Pelodiscus sinensis: one gene and its partners. Each later gene encodes a partner of the first gene's protein in a complex. Links are inferred from orthologs where the notes say so. Each region holds a gene or a part of one and is shown on either strand. Other genes may lie near its edges.

Region 1 (6,978 bases):
AAGGATTCCTATGGCACCTTAAAGACTAACACATTTATTTGGGCATAAGTTTTCGTGGGTAAAAACCACTTCGCCAGATGCATCTGACAAAGCGGTTTTTACCCACAAAGGCTTATGCTCAAATAAATCTTAGTCTAACACAGATACAAACTAACACAGCTATCCCTCTGAGACTTGTTACCAAATCGACAGATTATTTTCAACATGTGTCTGAAATAGACACAAATACAGATAATAAATCAGTAACTAAATGACAAATTCTGCAGTTAATCATTTCAGGTCAGACTAGCATGTGTCCTTCTCTTTCCCTTGTGCTCACAAGCACTTTTTAAAACTTGTACAAGGGAATCACCACAGACGAACATTACACCTGCAATCCTGTTCAGAAGACCTTCCTGATAAATCTCACAGGAAGGATTAACAAAATCACTCTAGTCCAACATATCTGTAGGTATCCACTTTATATCTGCAGATGCGGATCTTCACAGCTCATTTTTGTGGATGGGGATGCAGATACAAATTTTGTATCCATGCAGGGTTCTAAAACTCAGGAGATGCTCCTACCTATAAAAACAGGAAAGAAGCCTAAATTCCTGCACACTGGGAAAGGAATATGAAAAGAAAAGAGGACAAAGGGATAGGAAAGAGAAAACAAATAGGGAAACATAAAGAAGAGAACTTGGGGATAGCTTTTAATTTCAAATATGGTAACTTTGAGAACCAGATAGGTAGTTAATTAAGATTCTGGACAGAGATGTTTACGACAAATTCACTTTGCAACTGATCTGCAAGTGATTGGACAAACCCCTCTCCTATTACAGTTCTTACAGCATGTTAATCACAGTGGTAATTGAGGCTATGTATACGCTAGCACTTTTGTTGGTATAATTCATGTCACTCAGATTGTGGAAAAAAACACCCCCGAGAGTGACATAATTTGCACTAGAGTTGGGCAAACTCCCGTGGACCACATTCAGCATAGCAAACTTTTGTATCTGTCTCCCTCTGGGGAGCGAGGGCTTGCACTGCTCTGACCACCTGGCACTCCTCAGCCCCTTTCCACCATCTTCCACAACATGCAGATAACCATAAAGCACAGGCACAACTTCACCTTGCTGCTTCCAAGGTCAGAACCCTGCCCCTAAGTGGCAGCTCTGCCCCTGTGCTGCAGCACACCCAACCTCCTCCCGCCTCACCTTCAGGAACCTTCAAACCACTTAAGGGTTGCAGGTAGGGTGCCTCCGCCTGTGGCAATGCTTGATACAGCCACCTTGATGTCACTGCCAGCCATGCCTGCAGAAGTCCCTGGTACTGCTCCTACAGAATCTTCCCTCCACGCACCTCAGTATAGAGCTCCCCATGCCACACCTGATGAGTCCTCCCACCCACGTCAGGCAGTCATACAGTTTCCATACCAAGATGCGGCCCTTAGGCCAAAAAGTCTGACCACCCCTACAGATTCCATAGTGGGGGGAAAGCAACTCCCATACACAGAGCAGTTACAGGAGTTACCTTACAATGACATAGCTGCATTGGAACAGCTGTGCCACTGTAAGCCCTTTAGTGTAGACATGGCCTGAGAGTAGTAGCTCTAGATAGTTTGTCACTGACCAGAACAATAACTTCTTAGCCTAGGAAAGGATGAGAGGATGAGAGTACTCTTATCTAGCCTACTTTCTGTCCCAAGGAGCAAGTTGCTATTAGGCTTTGGGCCTTGTCTACACTAGGAAAATTAAGATGCTTCTTTTTTCACTATATAGCTACTCTGGGACATATCAATAGCAGAAACTGTAGCATAGTACAGACAATACTACAAAAGCAATAGAATATGCAGTAGTCAATGATGGGGTTACCCAATATGAAATTATGCACGGCAGGACTCTTGCGACACAGAGGCTGTGTCCTAAGTAGCAGCAAACTCAGCACAGATTGTAATCTTTTTCTCAGCATCCAACTACCTATGCACCCCATGGAACAAGGACTGCCACTCTTGCATGGGTCTTGTTAGCCACCGCCATACTGGCAAGCCATAAAACTGTTGTCAACATCTTCTACAGTCAGAAAGGTCAACAAGAAGAATTACAGTGCAGGCACTAAAGATGCCAAGGTCTTTCCTCCTCTACGCCTTCTATCATTGCTACCACTGCTGGAGGATTAAAGGTCCCAATTACTCTAGGATGGACAGCACCCAGAAAGAAACACATTTAACTTCTCTCCCCACACAAGAGGTGAGAATAGAAGGGCACGTGGCACCACCCCTCCTTCCTCGCTTCAGTGTCAGAAAGCAACAGAAAGAAACTGAAACGATTCCAAGAAACAAGGAGCGATAAAAGGGGAGAAATAAGAAACGGGTGGGACGGGACACGCCAAACCCTCGTGCAGCAGGGGGTCTGCAGACCAGCCACACGCTCACAGGTGAAACTGACAGGGGACAAGCCAGGGAGTTAGGACAGCGCTGCGAGCGGCTGCCAAGCCCCAGCCACGGCAACAGGCTCAGCGCGCTGCCGCTCCACGCGCGGGGACAGGAGCGTCCCCCACCGCGGGGCGGGCGTGCCGGGCCGGGGGCGCGGGTGTCACGCCCCCCACACCCACCCCACGCTGCGCGGCCGGGGCGAGGCCGCCAGCGCTGCCCTTTGCCAGCGGGAGACACGGGGCACTCAGACGCCAGGAAGGGGCGGCCGGGGCCCGGGCCAAGCCGAGCGGAGCCGGACCAGGAAAGGGGGGGGGGGGGGGCGCGTTACCTGCAGCTCCGCCCGCTCCGCCTCCCACTCGGCTCGCTCCGCCTCGAAGCGGCCCCACTCGTGCTGCAGGAAGTGCAGGATCCCGGGGACGCTGTACTGAGCCCGGGCCGCGGACACCGGGGCCGGGGCGGCCGCCGCCAAGGAGCCCCCCGCGGTCGCCGCCTCCCCCGGCTCCAGCCCCGGCCCGGCCCCGCCCGGCGGCGGCAGCAGCAGCGCGTTGTTGTTGTTGTTGTTGCTGAAGAAAACGCCGGGCCCCGCCTGCTCGTCCATGGCCGGAGCCGCCGCGTCCCGGCAGCAGCAGCAGCAGCAGCAGCCTGGGCGCGTCCCGCCCGCCGTCACCGCCGCCTGACAGGACGCCCCCGCCGGCTGCTACCGAGGCCCGGCGGGGACAACTCCGCTCCGACCCGTCCCGCGGCATTCTGGGAAATGTAGTTCCAGGGCCCTAGTCCCGCCTGGAAGCTGGGCGCTGGCGGGGCAAGGTCTCTGATTCTCTGACACAGGGTAGGATGCTTGAGCAACACAGAAAGCATCCCACCCTGTGCCAGCTCAGACCAGGGCTGTGGCTCCAGGCGATGGAAGTGAGCAGGCGCCTTCCAGGCAGACCCACGTTTGCATTCCTCCCTCAACAGAGGCTGGAGGAGACAATCCGTATTACCCTCACCCCAAAACCAAGCTCCGGCCCCTCCCCAAGCGTCTTGGCTCCCTGGGACCTGCTCATGTCACGGACAGACCTACAGAGCCACCGCTGTCAACAGCACCATGAAAAATGCCAAAGGAAATTAACCATTTGTCCCACCCCTTAGCCATGAGAAATGCTCCTATCTTCTGTAAGGTTGGATGGCACACTTAAGAGCTGGGAGAGACAGAGGCCAGCAGTTGTATTCAGAATAATCCCTTCCTTGGCAGCATGATAATAATTTCTACAAGAGCAACATAATGCAACTTTGCACAAAGCTAAGGCTGCTCCGTTCAGGGAAGCACCAATAGTACAAGTACTTTCTACTCCTGCCTCACAGTTAATATCCATTAGGTACTGAACTCAGGCCTTGGTGCAGCCTCTGCCCTGGGAGGCAGTGAAGCAAGTCTATTCACTGGTTACAGTGGACTTCAAAGACTAGAAAATAGAGGTAAGCACAGCCCACTCTCAGTTTCCACTACACAACTGGATTAAACTAACTTAACTTACCTTTGGTTCCCACTGAAGTGCCTCTCTGTGCTGATTTAGTAACACCACTTCCTAGAGCAGCGTCATGTCCGAGTAAGTCTACACTAGAGTTTTGTTAGAAAAACAACTGTTTTTCCGACAAAATTTGAGGAATGTCCACGCTGCAATTGCATTCTTCAGCAAGAAAATCGAAAGAACAGAGGGGTTTTTCTAGCATTGGTAATCCTCATTCTATGAGGAAGAAGCCTTTTTGTAAAAAAGCTCTTTCGCAAAAAGGCATGTGTGGAAAAAGGGAATTCTTTCGGAAGAAGGGGAAAGAGGAAAAAACACAAGTGCCCTCGTGACCATTCCATCCATAGCAATCACAGCTTACCTGCAAGAGAGCGTCCATTCAGTCTGGACACACTGCTTTTTCGATGCACTTTTGCAGTGTGGATGCTGTCTTTTGGAAGAAGCTTTTTTTTGAAAGATCTCTTCCGAAAAAAAGCTTTTTCCAAAAGAAGCCAGCAGTCTAGACAAAGCCTCAGTTTCAAGTAAGGACAACTTAGCTAATTACAAGGCAGTATTTACACTTTCAGGAGCCATCCCACTGTGCCCCACACAGACAATACAATAGATTCAAGCACTACTGGTGAGGACATACACCATCAACACAAGAAGCCAAGCAAGCACACACAGAAGCAATATAATCATGATGGTGCCTGTATATCGGTTGACAATTTTGTAGCATAGATATGTGGCTTCCTAACAGTAAGGTTAGGTTAAGGCTATTTAAAAAATGGCTGGAGTAAAAAACGCCTATGCCCTCAACTGTAAGGGGATGGAGACAGAGAACTGGAGCACAGAAAATTATGGCGCACCTTTCAGGCCAGTATGCAGTAATTTCTAAGTATGTGTGCTTTTTGTGTGTGAATGTGGACTGCAAGGGTGTGAATGCACCCCCCCATAGGGCCCCAAGAAGTGAGGAAATCAGCCGTCTTCCCCCAGTTGGTCAGAGCATGGGGAGGGAGGCTGGAGCAGCACACTGCTCCTGGCTTCTCCTGGCCAGCCAGAGCATGCTTACTTGGGGAACCACAGGGGACTGCTTTTGCACCCTTCATACCCCCACTGTGTATGGGCCAGCCTCTTCCCCAGCCTCAAGGAAGAAATTCTAAGGTGAACTGTCTGGAGTAGTAGGTTCAAAGACCTATGGTGGTGTAAGGCAGGAGTTCTCAACCAACATTCTATAAAAACTCCATGACCCATCTATGCTACAGCAACTGGGGTTTTTTTTTTTTTGGAGGGGAGGGGGGTTTACACTGGCATTAGGGCAAGCAGGGGAATTGTCCAGGGGCCCATGTCACAGGAAGCCCTGTAAAGCTAAATTGCTCAAACTTCATTTTGAGGCCCAGGCAGTTGGGCTTGGGCTTTCTGCCCCAGGTCCCAGTGAATCCAATGCTAGCCCTGCTTTCGCAGATCCCCTGAAACCTGCTCATGGCCCCTAAAGGGACCTTGGACCCCTCGTTGAGAACTATAGCTGTAAGGATTCAGCATAGGAGAACCTTCTGAGGACTGGTCTTCCCTGCATGGGAAGGAAAAGCAGTGCTGAGACGTGTAAAGCATCCCAGCAAACTTCAGAAGGAAACTTGCCTTGAAAGCTCTGTTCTCTCTAGCAGGAGAATGCTGAGGACAGTCATTGGACCATATTGCAGAAAGCGTCCTGGGAAACAGCCTCCTCGGAAAGGACAGTGGGAGCCTAAACTTCTAAAATGACTCGTCCAAGGGGATGGATTCAACAGTTGGTGTTTAAGGAGGAGGGAAGCTAGAGCCTCCTCCTCTGCTGTAGCTGCTATGGACCTCACAATGTGAGGCTTTGCTGCTTCTCTCAGCCTGGGTCCACTTAAAGACCTACTACAGATGCACACAGACATTAATAAAAGGAGCCTTCTTGAAGAGGATTGGGATTGCCAAATCCAGAATAAAGCTACAAAGGCCAAGAATATGTAAGAATATGGTCTTTTGTTTCAGCAAGACCAGACTAATACGGCTACATCTCTATTACTAAGAATACGTAAAGACACTAAACATGATGCAAGCTCTGTAAGCAATAGCAACATTCAGTATGTCACCAACTACAGTGTCTTAGCATAAGCTTAGCATTTCTACAGGCTTATCAATGGTGAAGGCACTGAGTAGTCCCAGAGACTTCACCATATTTTGCACAGACAAGGACTTGCTGCTGAGCTTCTGAAACCAGTATTTCCTGTTAGCTGCTGGCCAGCTGTCACTTCTTCAGAAGGCCAGTGCTTGCCTGCTTCTTTCCCCAGGAGTATGAGAGATCACTATAACTACACAGAGGAACATACTAGGCAATCCCTTCACTCTGGCCGAAGGGAAAAAAACCCTGAAGTATCTTGGAGAGAGAATGAGGAATAGCAAGGAAATGGGAAAAAGCAAGAGAGGTAAGAGAAAGGGAGCAAAAGAAGTGCGGGAAGAAAAAAGAAAAATTGAGAGAGGAAGTAGAGAGAAGGTAATTCGGGGGAAAAGAGACACTGAAAAAAAGACTATGAAAACAGGGAAAGTCATAATGAAGAACACAAAGGAAGAACAAAAGTGAGGAAGGCATGCCAAGTTATTTTGCTTTATAATCCAATGAAGGTTGGAACCAGATTATTATATTATTATATGAAATCATTTTTTTGCCTGAGGAGCAGGAAAAGGACAGAATCACGTGGATGGAAAATTTGAGAGGCTTGTTTCTAAACAAGCATGAGAACCCAGTATGTCTGTATGAGAAAAAGCCTCTCTTTTCATCTGCCACTCCCTTATCCCTCAATCGCTTTCTGAGCCTGTTTTCCCTTCAATTAACATTTTTTACCTGTTTTACATTTTTTTAAACTGGCTTCCTACAGCATTTCATTTTTGCTCGGCTGGCTCTAAACTCACATTTTAAAGATTTGTTTCTTTGCCTTTTATGAATTGCCAGTGATCTTGTTTAGTTAAAAAAAAAAATCAATTCTGACAGGAAAAAAAGTGCTAGGGTAAAACAAGACTCTTTTGGGGAAATTAGGAGACAACAAGAATTCGTTATGC
Region 2 (7,674 bases), on another chromosome or scaffold:
ATTTAGCAGATTTCCAATGTCAAGTGTTGATTTCTTGAGCAGAGGCTGAGTAATAAATTTCCTCAGAAAAGTCACCATCCTACCCTCACTATGGGAAGCACTAATTGGTTCCTCAAATTCTCTAGATAGAAAAAAAAATTCAAAAGAGGTCAGGTTGAGGAACAATAACCCCCAACATTTCTACTGTCACTGGCTTAAACTCAACTAGAGAAAAAACATTTGTCCTGAGTAGACCCTATCCTCCATCCATAGAATCAGGAAGCTTGGCTTTTATCTTTGTAATCAGAAATTTCCTATCAGGAGGAGCTTGATTCAGCCACCAAGTGAAGGCAAGGTGGCAATGTTTGTGATTTGATGAAAAATAACATTGGTTTGTTTTAATCATGTTTCAACTTTATGAGTAACTAAACTGTACTCAGGTTTGTAAATGATTAACCAACTCTGGACAAAATATAAGCCACTATACTAAATTTTTCTTCATTTCAGGAAAAATTGCAGCAAACCTCCTGATCAATGCACTTTTGAAGGACCTGTTATTTTTGAATGAAAATTTAGTTTAGTTAGAGTAAATGTTGTTGCATTCACTGGAACAACATTGAATGATTTTACCAAACATGAGTCCAAGACAAATTCAGCCACTGTAATTAAATTTTTGCTAATCTGAGTGAAAATAAAATAAAAGAAGGAATAAGCATTTATTTGTATAGATTCTCACCTACCCTGCCTCACACACTGAGCAGTTTCATTGATCAGGGAACTAAAAGAATGTTTTCAGAAAGTGAAATACCCCATTAAAGTTTCAAAACTGGTTTATGCAAAAACTTTCCAAAAGTAAAGATCCTCCACTTATGGCTACACTTAAGCTATGTGACAATAAGCTATTTCAATAAAGTTTTATGTGCTTGGCAAAACCAACTAAAATCAGGTAATTTATATCCTTACAGTCATTATTGAGACATGTCTCCAAAAATGTTATACTTATATAGAAAACATAGAAGCATTTATAAATATAACTGTGTTCACTTACAATAAAAATGTAACTGCATATCGGAAATCAGGTACACTTTATTGTTTTGAATATGACTGACTGCCACCATTTAGATTGTGCAAACCATTTAAAGGAAACATGAATATCTGTCCCTGGAACTCAAACCACTGGTTTTCTAGGGATGTAAAATCCTGGTTAAAAAGTTAACCAGTTAAAAAGAATGTTAAACGTTCTATTTAACCAGGATCTTGTGGGCAGGTGGTTGCTCTAGCCCAGCTGGGCCACTGGTTAAGCAGTTACCGGTAAGGATCACCCAGTAAAGGTGATGCTTATTGGGTAACTGGTTACTCATCCCTACAGTCTACTTAATTAAAAAACTGATCTGAATCTCACCAGTTTTGCAATTTACTCCCATTCCAATAAATACATTATTCTGAAATGGTGAACACCAATGTGAGATTAACACCTCACAGTCAAGAGGCAGATGTTTTAAAAGTGAACTATGTTTACCTCTATCTATCCCTTACACAAGAAAGCCATCTTAGGGTGGGCTCCAATTTCTGTACATAGTCAAATTAAAGTGACTGCATAAAGTATAAATCGGCAAAGATCCCACACCTTTATTTAGTAAAGCAACAGATTATCATCATGGATGCAATGTAATCCCAGCAATGAACATGGAGAAGGTGACAATATACACCAGTTTCTAGATCAAGTTCTCTCTACCTATTCAGTCTCTGGAATTTGAACATAAAGCTACTGTTGCTATCTCTGAGATTTAATCAGGTGCAGCTAGAAAGTAAAATAGAACAGATATTTAAGAAAAACCATTATGTAACACTAATCTCAATATTACCCCAGCCCACCAAGTAAATTGTGAAGCTGACACAAGAAGGGAATCTTTTATTGGACCAATTTCTGATGGCAAGAGACAAGTTTTCAAGCCACACAGAGATCTTCTTCAGGTGAACTTATTTCCTGTAATACAGAAGCAACACAAAAGCTTGACCCTGATACTGTCATGCTGGAGGAGGGGAAATCAACCAAGCATGAGTTACAGATACTGCTTGTAGACACTTTGGAAGGTCATAAATTCGCCTGTTTTAAGTTTTCCTTATGTTCCTCTTCCATTATTAAACTGAAAAAGCAACTAATCATTCACGTTGTTTGCTTTTTTTTGCCACTTATTAAACTGGAATAACAAATAGGTCAGTTTCACTTTCGGCTTCTCATACACACTGCTAGAAGATTGGCGTTACAAAAAACAACCACCCCCACCCGCAAACCCAAACCAAACCAACTACAAAAGAGAAGCTGCTCCTATCATTAGGTCCTGAAAATAGTTTACAAACTAGTAAATCAAACCAAGGCCCCGTTTCCAAACATTCCATGCCAAGGGCACACAAGAGATGCACTCAGACCAAGACTTTTTTTTTCCAAGTGAGGGAGGATGCTCAGCCTGCCATTCAGAAACTACTCCGTCCGAAAATCGGGCCCCCTTAGAGGTGGCCCAAAGGGGAGACGGGTGCGGAACAGCGCCAGCCAGAAGCACTACACCCTTAGCCTCCGGCACGCGGCGGGGGCAGAGCGAAGCCTGGCGACAGGGCCGAAGGGCAGCCTCCCCGGGCTCGGGTCCGGCTGTGCACCTGCACGGGCTGACCTCCGCCTGCTGCTCTCTGCCGGGGGGAGACGCCCGCCCCCAGCCCTAGGAGCCCAGGCCCTGGGCATGGCCAGCCCCTCCTCCACAGCGTGGCCTGCCCCGCCCCACTGGAGACCCACAGCCCCTCTGAGCGTGACCCTCAGGCGGGGCCCGGATTCTCCAAGGCGCCCTACGCCCCGAGCGCAGCGCAGCCGCGAGGGAATCAGCAGGCCCTACACAAACACACTAGTGACCCTGCCCGAGCCGTGGGCACCGAGCGCCTCGTCCCCCCCTCCTCCGAAAAGGGGGCACACACAGCCCGGTACCTACCTCCCCCCCACCCCTCGGGGACTTTAGAGTGGGCTCCGCTGCCTTGCCGGAAGTGCCTGCGAGACGGAAACGTTCCCCGCGGTGACCACACACACCAGGCGTTGCCGGAACCAACCTGCAAGCCGCATGGGCTCCTGGGACCTGTAGTGCCGTTCCACACGACTACAACGCCCACAAGGCAACGCGAGGGCCAGCTTGCGGCGTAGAAGGGGGGGAGTAGGAAGAGTTGGAGGAGGAGTCGTCGCAGAGCTAGCCCAATTGGAGTGCCGGACTAGACGAGGGGGCGTGGTCCCGAAAGGGGCGGGGCAGGCGTGAGAATTTGCAGGCGTCGGCAGACGCCACAGAAACAATTCCTGAAGCGGTCTCTGGACCACAGGCTGCTCCAACACCGGCAGGCTCCCCGTTCTAGCGTTCGCAGCTGCTGCAGAACCGCTCCGAGGGAGGTAAGCGCTATCAGTTACTTGGCTGGGCGGGCGACCTGGTTGCTTGCGGTGGGCTCCTCGCCCTAGGAAATCCTTTTTTCGCCGACTCTCTGTTTTGTTGCATGCTAAATGTTTGCACGTCCATTGACTTTGCGTTGCATTTGTAGGGAGCTGTTGGAAAGTCTCCCTCTGACTATGGCTGAACACTGGTGCGTGTGCAGTGTATGTGTGAGTGCTTTAAACCCACTTCACTTGTCAGTTGTTCAGACAGCTCGCTCACAACGTGTGAAATAAATTCCTGGCTCCGGCTGTCGATATTTGTTACCTCGTCTAGGGATAGGTTGGTCGCCACCCCTAAAATCTTTTACCGTATTAAATAAAACGGTTTTTCTTCACGCTCTAATGTTTTTTATAGACTGTGTATGCACATCCCTTATAGATTTGTAGAACGGAGTCGTGGATTTGTTGTACTTGCCTTACGACTGTGTCAATTACTGTAAACTGGGACCAGCATCGGTTGTTTGTTGATACGATTCAGGATGTGTTGTTTTCTACAGCAAAGCTATTTAGAACTCTGAAGAAGTTCTTAAAACTGAAAAAGAAATAAAATAAATTAATTATAGGTGTTCACTTTTAAATTACTTGAGAATGAGTGCAGAGGTAGTATTTAAAACAGGTGGATACTTTAGTGTGTGTGTGTGTGTGTGTGTGTGTGTATATATATATATATATATATATATATATATATATATATATATATATATATATATAAAAAATCTGTGTGTGCATATATGTAGTTTGTAAGTGTACCCTATCAGTAGAAAAACTTTTCAATTTGAGTATAAAGTTACTTTCTCTTTGTAACAGAAGACTTTTGTATTTTGTGACTAAAATACACAACACGCCATATCTGAAATCTCCCTCCTTCAGAATCTCACACATCTCTTGACATCTCAATAGAATGACTAGCCTCCTCTGCCAATGTATATTTACCAGACTATTTGTATATTAATTATTTTAGATACTAATTTGTATGTAACACTTGTTATTAATAAAAGTATTATAATTATGTAAAGCAATTTCATATTTTTAAATCAAAGGTACTGTAAAGGTCAAAATCATATCATTGTTCTAAGTCCATCCTTTTCCCTGTTTAAGCCATGCTAACATTGGTTAGTTACTAAGAGCTACTGTTACAGAAAAGCTTTTGAACTTTAACATTAAAACTTAAACATGTCAAAAATTTGGCTTTAAATTCAGGTGTCTTAAATTTGTTACCTCTATGTAAAGAGTTTAAGAATACTGTATAAAATGATAATGATGGCACTTTTCCTATGAAAGGCTTACAACAGCTGAATGAATGGGTAAGTGATGATATAGCCAATGGTTAATAGTTTCCCTTTAGCAACAAAAAGGGACTGTCTATGGAACACCATACATGCCATACAAGCTCCAACTTTGCAGTGTAGAAACAGAGATCTCAAGTATTTGGAACTACAACACAACATGGAACCGTGCATCACCTGTTAGGTCCCAATAACTGAATGCATAATGAAAGCCATACACAGGATGGTAACTCAGTGGTATGCTCTAATTAGAAAATAAAGGTATTCCCTTCACTGTGCCCTGCTTTGTTTTATTTTTAACCTTTGTGTCATCCATTGAACACCAATTAATGCACATCTCTAATTATTGATGAGGAAGACCTCAAATTTGTGTAATGTGCAAAAATATTAATATCATTAATAGCTTTTAACTTCATTTGGCATCCCAAAAACATTTGTTTCTATAGTTGTAATGGTAGGTCTTGTTTTGGTAAGCCCTATGAAGGGATGGGGGGGAGGGCTACGGATTGGGTGAAGTGTCTTGTGCTTTGCAGAGTCCACAAAACAAATCAATGGGAGGATGTGTGGGTGGGGCGGAGGGGGTGAGACAGACATAAACTGTTTCTTACATGTGCATAAGGACAATAAACTGTGTGTTTCTAAATTAAGTTGTTTAATAATGCAAACTTCTGTTTAAAAATATAGAAGAATATTCTATATTCATGCCCCCTTTTTGATTTTTTGAGACCCCCTCATTTTCGCCCCCCCCCCCCCCCGAAAAAAAAATTAGCAGCAAAATTGTTGAGCGCAAAAAAAAAAAAACTGACCAGGGCAGCAAAACTTGATGGGGGTGGAAGGGGCTGGGATGTCTTGTGCCCCTCCTGGAATTTCTTCATGCACCTCCAGGGGGCATCCCCAAAGTTTGGGAACCCATGATCTACATCATCCCTGATATCTATCCAACCTGCTCTTAAATATCTGCAGTGATGGAAATTCCACAACCTCCCTAGGCTGTTTATTTCAGTATTTAACCACCCTGACAAGAAGATTTACCTAATGTCCATCCTAACCTTCCCTTGCTGCAATTTAAACCCATTGCTTCTTGTCCTATCATCAGAAGACAAGAACAATTTTTCTCTCTCCTCCTTGTGACACTCTTTTAGATGCTTGAAAACTGCTATTGTGTCCCCTCTGTCTTATATCTTTTAAACTAAACAAGCCCAATTCTTTCAGCTTTCCTTCATAGGTCATGTTTTCTAGACCTTTAATCATTTTTGTTGCTCTTCTCTGGATCTTCTTCAGTTTCACCACATCTTTCTTGAAATGTGGTGCCCAGAACTGGACACAATACTCCAACTGAGGCCTAATCAGCACAGAGTAAGCAGAAGAATGACTTTGCGTGTCTTGCTCAAACGCTCTTGTTAATGCATCCCAGAATCATGTTTGCTTTTTTTTGCAACAGTGTGACACTGTTGACTCATTTAACTTGTTGTCCACTATGACCCCTAAATCCCTTTCCACAGTACTCCTTCCTGGACAGTCGCTTCCCCGTCTGTATGTATGAAACTGATTGTTCCTTCCTACGTGAAGTATTTTGCATTTGTCCTTATTAACCTTCATCTTGTTTACCTCAGACCATTTCTCCAATTTGTCCAATTTGTTTTGAATTTTGACCTTATCTCCAAAGCAGCTTGGTATCATCTGCATACTTAATAGTCATACTCTCTGTGCCATCATCTAAATACTTAATGAAGATATTGAACAGAACCACAATACTTGATATCCTTTCAAAGAAAGCTGTTAGATTGGTTTGACATAATTTGTTCTTTCTTCACTCAGCACACAGTCAACCTGTGGAACTCCTTGTCAGAGGACATGGTGAAGGTTAGGACTTCAGCTCTTTTTTGAACCCTGTTAGATAGATTCATGGAGGTTAGGTACATCAATGGCTATTAGCCAGGATGGGTAGGAATGGTATACCTAGCCTCTGTTTCTCCGGGGCTGGATGATGGGAGAGATCATGTGAGGATTACCCGTTGTCCCCCTCCCTCTGGGGCATCTAGTATTGGCCACTGTCGGCAGACAGGATACTGGGCTAGATGAACCATTGGTCTGACCCAGTATGGCTGTTCTTATGGTAGTAGGCAACAGCCAGCATGGATTTCTATTACCATATTATCTTCCAGAGGTTTGTAGATGAATCCCTTAATTACTTGTTCCATTATCTTCTCTGGCACAAAAGTTAAACTGACTGGTCTATAGCTTTCTGGATTGGTCTTATTTTTCCTTTTTATAGATGGGCACTATATTTACCCTTTTCCGGTCTTCTGGAATCTCTCCTGCTGTCCATGATTTCTCAAAGATGAGAGCTAAAGGCTCAGATATCTCCTCTAGCAGCTCCTTGAGTATTCTAGGATGTATTTCATCATGCCCTGGTGACTTGAAGACATCTGACTTTTCTAAGTAGTTTTTCACTTGGTTCTTTTTTTATTATTATTACAGGCAGTCCCCGGGTTACGTACAAGATAGGGACTGTAGGTTTGTTCTTAAGTTGAATCTGTATGTAAGTCGGAACTGGCGTCCAGATTCAGCCGCTGCTGAAACTGATCAGTTTCAACAGCGGCTGAATCTGGAGGCCAGTTCTGACTTACATACAGATTCAACTTAAGAAACCCAGTCATCCCCAAGTCAGCTGCTGCTGAAACTGATCAGCAGCTGATTCCAGGAAGCCCGGGGTTGCAGCAGCGGCTGACTTGGGGACACCTGGGGCAAAGCAGCTGGGGTGCTGCTGGGTTGGTCCAGCGCCACCCAGAGTGGCGCTACGGGACCAACCGGCAGCGCCCCAGCTGCTGTACCACAGGCGTCAGGAGCAAAGCCGCGGAGAACGGGGGCAGCGGGACAGCCCAGACGCGCTGTGGCTATCCTGCTGCCCTCGGGCTCCGCGGCTTTGCTCTGCTTTGCTCCCCGTCC
Region 3 (7,775 bases), on another chromosome or scaffold:
CGGCCATATTGGGTCAGACCAAAGGTCCATCTAGCCTAGTGTCCTGTCTGCCGACAGTGGCCAATGCCAGATGCCCCAGAGAGAATGAACAGACCAGGGAATCCTCACATGATCCGTCTCTGTCCTCCATTTCCAGCTTCTAACAACAGAGGCCAGGGACACCATTCCTACGCATCCTGGCTAATAGCCACTGATGGACCTAACTTCCATGAATTTATCTTTGCTGAACTCGGTAAAAGACTTAGCCTTCACAACATCCTCTGGCAAGGAGTTCCACAGGTAGATTGTGAAGAAATGCTTCCTTTGTTTTAAACCTGCTACCTATTAATTTCTTTTGGTGACCCCTAGTTCTTATGTTATGAGAACAGGCAAATAACTTTTCCTTATTTACTTCCTCCACACCAATCATGATTTTATAGCCCTTAGAATCTCGGCAAGGGGCATGCAGTGAAGAGCTTCTACCTCCCTCCTGCTGTGTTCATTTTGTTCTGGGATCTCTGTCTCTTTTCCTACATGCTGCTGATTAAGTTATGGGTGAGCTCCATTATGTCTCTGGAAGGGGTGATGCCTTTCCACTATCTCTGATTCCAAATCTAGCCCCAGATAACCGTGGTTTCAGATGTGTAGAAAATCCTCTGTAGCCATCTATCTTCTCCACGAGGCCTGACTTTCAAGCACTGTCCCAAATCGTTACTAAGGAGGACAGGTAATAAACTCTCTTTACCTGGGTTATTGTGGTTTTAACCTTATGTCCACAGTCGCTTTGGCACCCTCAAAAGCAGGAGTGTTGAACATCCTCCCATCACTGTCCCAAACTGCCTGGAAGTGACCAGTCACTAGAAAACATGGCTCCTTGGCTCTGCAAAGTTGACATCCCCTGATGCTCTGATTCTGTGATTCTGACAGGAAAGGAAGGGTTTAATCCCGCTGCTGCTGGGCCTTAGGAAACGGACGATGAATGTGAGTGTGATGTAGTCCCCAGCAGCGCTGCTCTAGGAAGGCCTAGGACTAGTCCCTCCCGGGAACCAGCTGAGCCAGCGATGGGCAACCGAGGCTGGTGAGTGGCCGCAAGATTGTTGTCACCAAGACGCTCTCCCAGGATCGGGTAGTTTTGCTCACTGCACTTGCGTAGCTAGAATGTGCGGGGGGTGCCGATTGCACCGTAGCAGCGCTGGGACTGGCTGCAGAGGGAGCGCCCGGCGCTCACATTCAGTGTTGTAGCAATCAGCCTGCTCCTCACTCGACACACACGGGCGGGTCACTTCAGTAATAGTGGTAGGGAAAAACCGACACTGACAAAAACCAGCAGAATCTGGCAGCCCTGCGTGTGGACAACAGTAAACAAAATGTCTCGTAGGCTGCACGTAGAGCCCTGATGTGCCGCAGGCTGCCTGCCACTATGCTAAGCTCTGGAAGCCTGGAGTGGGGGGGGGGGGGGGGGGGTTGGGGTTTGTCCTTTCTCTGAGCACTGGAAGAACATTTCATTTTGGCAATGGGCAGGCAGCCAGAGACCCCTGGAAGACTCACAAGGGCAGGATCAGGTCCCCTGTCTGGTCAGGCAAAATCCTGCAGAGCCCCAGTGAACTCATTTGGAAATGTCTGGAATGTGATACAACGATGCTGAATAGTCTCATTCCTCGGCCAGAGATGCTGTGTCACCGTGGACGCTGCTTTCTCCACTACAGACCTTCCCGTCCTGCTCCCAGAGTGCTTTGCAGCACTGTGAAGAAAGCGTGGTCTCCTTTTACAGCTGGGGAAACTGAGGCACGGAGCCACACAGTGACTTTGGCAAATAGTCTAATTCTGTTTTATATTTCTTCAGTCGCTATTACTGCTCTGTCTGTGGAAAGACACAAGGGGCAGTTCGCATCCCCACGGCGCTTGCAGTCCATTCCTAGCCAAGGAAGATGGTAGACAACTACTGGCAATAAACACTTTTAAATCCACCCGAGTAACTTGCCCCCAAATGCTCAAAATGAGTTGGAGATCTCTCGCCGCCTGCTGTTCGTTTTTAGTAAGTATTGGAGCCGGGGCAATTCCAGAACACTGGTAGAAAGCTAATGCTGTGTCGGTACTCAGGCAGAGCCGATACAGGACTCTAGATAAAGAATTAATGAACAGGAATATAATTAATGACAGTCGACATTGTTTTATGGAAAACAGGTCTTGACAAACAAACCTGATTTAATGCTTGGGGGTTTGAAATTAGATGCAACATATAAAGGCTTTTGAAAGGTGTTTGACTTAGTACCCCACGACAGTCTGATCAGAATTGGCAGTCCCCCGTAGTAAGAGAGCACATGTTAACTGGAGTAAGAAGTGGCTAACGGAGCTCACTCTGTAGCTGTCACTGGAGAATCACCCGCTCGGGTGTTTTGGGGGGGAGGTTGCAGCGATTGGTATTTGGACGGCTTCTGTGCAATATTTTCAGCAATGGGCTGGAAGCAGTGTAAAAGTGCTGCTGATAAAATCAGTGGCTGACACACAGACTGGCCAAGTAGCACAAGAGGTCAGGAATTCGTACGGAGCCAAATGCAATTTGCCTAGGTCTCAACAAAGATGCTAATTTCCTTACCCATTACAAAGATAGCTTCCCCAATTATCACCTCTAATATCATTAGCTCAGACATTAACCTCCCCACCTCATCCCCCCTCTGTTCTGAAATGTGATTTGTCCTTTTTATACGTGTTCACTTTTTTTGATTGTATCCCTTTGGTATATATGGTCAGGCCAATTTTCTTCCACAATTTGATCTGAGGAAGTGGGTCTGGCCCACGAAAGCTCATCACCTAATAAACCATCTTGTTAGTCTTTAAAGTGCTACATAGTCCTGTTTTTTGTTTCAGCTACACCAGACTAACACGGCTACATCTCTATTACTCTTGGAACAAGGCATGGAGACCATGGCGGATGGGAAAGCCGTGCCTTTGAAAAAGCTGTACAGGGGTCACAAGGGACAAGCTTCCAGGTGGGTGATGCTGTGGCAAACTGGGCTAGTGTGTTGTGGGGTCTATAACGGTGCTCAATGGGTGAGGAAAGAGATGCAAACAATGTTAATGGGGGGTGATTAGGGAAGTGGTGGGTTCTCCTTCTCTTGGTGTTTTCCAATCAAGACTGGAAGGTGTTTTTGTCAAACACAAGTGGAGGGGAAAATGTAATGGCTGGTACTGTGGAGGTGACTTCACATAACCTGGTGCTCCCCTCTGGCCTTAAAATCTAGGGGTTGCCCAAAGACACACACAACATCTCCATCAGAATGAAGGCGGGATCCAAGATCAACGGACAGTGAGAGAGGCAGATACAGCGAGCCCTACTGAGTTTCTTGGGGGGGGGGCCGGTTGAGAAGTTAAACTGAGATCCCCTCTGCTCGGTGTTTTTATCACCACCTTGGCCATTTGGACTGAAATTTCTGCCCGTCCAGTTCTGCGATGCCCTTCTGGCTTTCAGCTTCCAACCACAGGCAGCTGTTGTGACGGGACAGACTGAGTCCCTCTGGTTCACAAAGGGCATGGGAACCCGGCCTGAGGAAAAGTGCTGTGGCCACAAGGGAGAAAAAGCCTAACCCTGTGACGCCCTGTCTCCCCTTTCACACGCCCTGGCGTCTGCCTCGTTTCCACCACTGCCCTGAGAGTGAATCCTGCTCTGCGGTGGCCATGTCTCTAACTCCTGCCACATCCCACCTGCTGCCACAGGCCTTCTGTCCCTGGGGGCAGCAACCTCCCTCCTTCCCCTTAGTGCCCGCGGCCTTTTCACACCGTCCCAGCTGAGGCCCCAGCCTCTCCCATGAGAAGAGCCACACTGGGTCAGACCAAAGGTCCATCTAGCCCAGAGTCCTGTCTGCTGACAGTGGCCAATGCCAGGTGCCCCGGGGAGACGGGGGGAAGTGAACAGAACAGGGAATCATTAAGTGATCTCTCTCCTGTCACCCATTCCCATCTTCTGACAAACAGAGGCTAGAGCCACCATCCCTACGCATCCTGGTTAATAGCCATTAATGAACCTAACCTCCATGAATTTATCTAGCTCTATGTTGAACCCTCTTCAAGTCCTGGTCTTCACAACATCCTCTGGCAAGGAGTTCCACAGGTTGTGCGCTGTGCAAAAAAAAACCACCTTCCTTTTATTTGTTTTAAACCTGCTACCTATTCATTTCACTTAGAGACCCCTCATTCTGATGTGATAGGAACAAGGAACTTTGCCTTATTCACTTTCTCCACACCTGCCATGAATTTATAGACCTCTATCATCTTCCCCCTTAGTCTTCTCTTTCCTAAGCCGAAAAGTCCCAGTTTTTCTCTCTCCTCATGGCACCTGTTCCAAGCCCCTCATCATTTTCGATCCCCTTCTCTGAACCAAGGTGCCTTTTGTGAGCGGAGGCGCCCACCCACCTGCAGGCAGCATCCAAGCTGTGGGCGAACCGGGGCTTCATACAAGCTCCGCTCTGTCCCCTTTGAAGCGGCGCCCACTGCTCCTTTACCCTCCCCTGGCTGCAGCTTGTCCCCCAGCCCAGGGCCAGACCACATGGTCTAGTGGTCACCCCAGAGTGTCCTCTCCCCCCAGCCCCGCCCTGGCAGCCGCTCACGCAGCCAATCGGCGCCTAGGGGTGTGTCCCCGGCGGAGACAGCCAGCCAATGGCAGCGCGGGGGCGTGGCGAGTCCCTGGGTGGAGGGGGGGGGGGGTTCAGCCTGCACGTGCTGGCGCGGGCAGGGCAGAGGGGCGCATGGAGGAGACCGGGGCGGCCAGCAGCGCCCTGCCCGGGGACGGGGCGCCCGGCAGGGGGAGGCCGCTGCAGGCCAAGGGGCGGGAGCTGTTCAGGAGCCAGCGGAAGGAGTCCGAGGTGAGAGAGGGGGGGCACCCACCCCCCGTCCCTCTGGGGGACCCACCCACCCCCCCGGGCACTCAGCCCCCCCGGGAACCCACCCAGCCCCCCCGGGCACTCAGCCACCCCCCGTCCCTCTGGGGGACCCACCCAGCCCCCCCGGGCACTCAGCCACCCCCCGTCCCTCTGGGGGACCCACCCAGCCCACCCGGGCACTCAGCCACCCCCCGTCCCTCTGGGGGACCCACCCAGCCCACCCGCCTGCCCCCCCTGGGAACCACCCAGCCCCCCCGGGCACTCAGCCACCCCCCGTCCCTCTGGGGGACCCACCCAGCCCCCCCGGGCACTCAGCCACCCCCCCGTCCCTCTGGGGGACCCACCCAGCCCACCCGCCTGCCCCCCCTGGGAACCACCCAGCCCCCCCGGGCACTCAGCCACCCCCCGTCCCTCTGGGGGACCCACCCAGCCCCCCCGGGCACTCAGCCACCCCCCGTCCCTCTGGGGGACCCACCCAGCCCCCCCGGGCACTCAGCCACCCCCCCGTCCCTCTGGGGGACCCACCCAGGCCCCCCGCCAGCCCCGCCTGGGAACCACCCAGCCCCCCCGGGCACTCAGCCACCCCCCCGTCCCTCTGGGGGACCCCCGCAGCCTGCCCCCCTGGGGATCCACCCACCCCCCCGTCCCTCTGGGGGACCCAGCCAGCCCCCCCGAGGGCACCCAGCAGCCCCCTGGCCCCCCCCAACCCCGCCGGCGGAGGGGCCCGCCCCGTCCCGGGGAGCTGCTGGCGGGGGTCCCGCGGCTGCCCTGCGCCTCCTGCCCTTTGCTCGCAGCCGCGCGCGGGGCCCGATCGCTCCCGGGCGGGCGCCTCCCCGGCTCCGGCGACAGGTGCCTGGGGCGCTGCGGCTCCCCGCGGGGCCCGGGCAGGGGGCGGCCCGTGGGGCGGGGAGGTCGGGGCCGCTGCGGGCTCCCCTGCCCGGCTCGCTTTGCAGCCCCCGCCCGGAGGCGCGGCCGGGCCGGGACGTACAGGAGCAGCTGGGGTCGGCGCCTTATTGCAGCCTCGCTGCAGCTCCTGGCAGCCTGGTGGGGGAGGGGGGCTCAGACAGCAGAGGACTGAAGTGGGGAGGGACTTGTCAGCCCCCCCCCCCGGGAACCAGCGCTGCACCCCCAGATCGGAGGGGCGCTGGAGGAGGCAAGTTTTCTCCTCCCGCACCTAGTGGCAGGGCCATGAGCTGGCACCGGGGTGGTGGGTGCACCCTCGCTCTAGAGATGCACCGGCTGGATGACGCCTGCTGCGTAATGAGCCCCCCGGGAAGTGGAGATGGGGGGGGGGACCTGTCAGTCTTCTGCCAGGTTGGGGTGCTGCCTCTCGCCAGGCACTGGGAACCTGCCCTCCTCCGGTGACTTCATAATTGTTCATTCCGGGGTTTCTTCCTCCGAAGCGCCGGGCCGGGGCACTTGGAGCGAGGCTGCTGAGTAGATGGATGCGGGCAAGCCACAGGTTGGGCGATTGCTGCCGAGATCGTGAGCAGCATTCACACTTGGCTGCATGGGCGACTCGTGGTAGCACCCAGGAGGAGCACTGCCCCCCGCCCACAGGCCCCTGTCAAAATTCGGATTGCTAACCGGGGTGTTCCCTCATGCCCCCTCCTTGTTCCTCTGGCTGGCTCTCCCTGCACTCCCTCCCTCCCTTGCGCTTGATGGAGCCTGCTGGATGCATGGCAGCTGGAGAGACAGTCCAAGAGTTTATGCTGCTGACGGGGCACGGGGGCAGATGCGCATTGGAAGGATGCACACGCCAGCGTTGGGGCTTGCCAGACCCGCCAGCTGGAGCGTAGATTTTAAAAGGAACCGGTAGCGTGTTAACAAGAGGGGGTCACTGTGGGAAGGATTCCGGGAAGGGGGGGGCGAGGAATTGACGGCCATTGTGTGGGATCAAAGACGGGTCCCTCTTCCAGCATGGGGGAGAGCGACGAGGCGCTCGTGGGGGAAAGAGCAGGAGGGCGGAGAGGGAGGCCGGAATGGCAGAGGGCAGGGTCTCGCTGAGATTGATGAAAGGTTGATTTCACAGGTGCAGGAAGGGACCGTATGTCTAATAGTGCAGCACCAACGTCCTGTTCTTCCCCCCCCTCCCCCCGCAAAAGCCAGCCTGGGCTGGCTGAAGGTAGCGCAGTGGGGCGGGTTCTCCGGGGGCCTCACGGGTAAGTCAGCAACCTCCGGAGCCTGGGATGGAGGATTCGAGTTCCCACCAGGCTGACGCTCTTCGGGGGCTCTCTAGCTCTGATTGGGGGCATCTCGTCTCCGCGGCTTCTCTTCGAAGCCAGCACTGAGCCAGAGCGGAGCTCAGCCGCTGCTCCGATTAGATCTGGGTACGAATGTGATGGATGAGAGATGCCGGACACGCCGGGGTGATCCTGCGTAGTGAGAGCTCGGTGCGGAGAACATTGGTGGACGATAGGACGCGGTCTCTGAATAGTCTCGTTCCTTCGGCTGTAAAAACCTGCCCTATCTGTTCTCTGGCGTTACGGGTTGGAAACTTTAGTTTAACCATCGCTGCTCCTCGGGCGTGGCCCTGGCCAAAGTGCAGGTGAGGCGTCTCTTTCCAAGGCGCACCCCGGTGGCCTGGGCAGACGGTGGAATTCTGGCCTTGGGACACAACCTTTCAATCCGTTTTCGGGTCAGAAGTGCAGCGGTCGTTTTGGTTTAGCCGTCTCTGCCGGGGGGATTAACGTTTGCAGGCGCCACTACTTAGCCGAATTCCTCTAGAGCTTTAGTGCGCCGACCGTAGATGGCCAGCGCGCTGGATTTGGTCCCCGCGTTGGTTGTGTGCTGTCGAGGCTCCCTGACGGCGTGAGATCAAAAGTCAGAGCTGGAAGGGAGGGTCAGGCAGAGCTGGGGGCGGGGAGAGACATCTCCGTTCTGTTTTTGGCTCCGTTACTGACCTGCTTTGTGACTTTA

Evidence for each region.
Region 2: STRN (region 1) and PDCD10 share a complex: the UniProt entries of both Homo sapiens proteins name them as parts of the core of STRIPAK complex. The link is inferred for Pelodiscus sinensis from reciprocal best matches to the Homo sapiens genes STRN and PDCD10.
Region 3: STRN (region 1) and STRIP2 share a complex: the UniProt entries of both Homo sapiens proteins name them as parts of the core of STRIPAK complex. The link is inferred for Pelodiscus sinensis from reciprocal best matches to the Homo sapiens genes STRN and STRIP2.

The regions. Positions count from the first base shown.
Region 1 is NC_134713.1:137,172,225-137,179,202, forward strand, and holds the start of STRN (striatin), read right to left. Parts: upstream 3,045-6,978; 5' UTR 3,012-3,044; coding exon 2,742-3,011; intron 1-2,741. UniProt on the Homo sapiens protein: Calmodulin-binding scaffolding protein which is the center of the striatin-interacting phosphatase and kinase (STRIPAK) complexes.
Region 2 is NC_134720.1:37,052,200-37,059,873, forward strand, and holds the start of PDCD10 (programmed cell death protein 10), read right to left. Parts: upstream 3,095-7,674; 5' UTR 2,958-3,094; intron 1-2,957. UniProt on the Homo sapiens protein: Promotes cell proliferation. Modulates apoptotic pathways. Increases mitogen-activated protein kinase activity and STK26 activity. Important for cell migration, and for normal structure and assembly of the Golgi complex.
Region 3 is NC_134711.1:4,396,617-4,404,391, reverse strand, and holds the start of STRIP2 (striatin-interacting protein 2), read left to right. Parts: upstream 1-4,682; 5' UTR 4,683-4,721; coding exon 4,722-4,838; intron 4,839-7,775. UniProt on the Homo sapiens protein: Plays a role in the regulation of cell morphology and cytoskeletal organization. Required in the control of cell shape. Calmodulin-binding scaffolding protein which is the center of the striatin-interacting phosphatase and kinase (STRIPAK) complexes.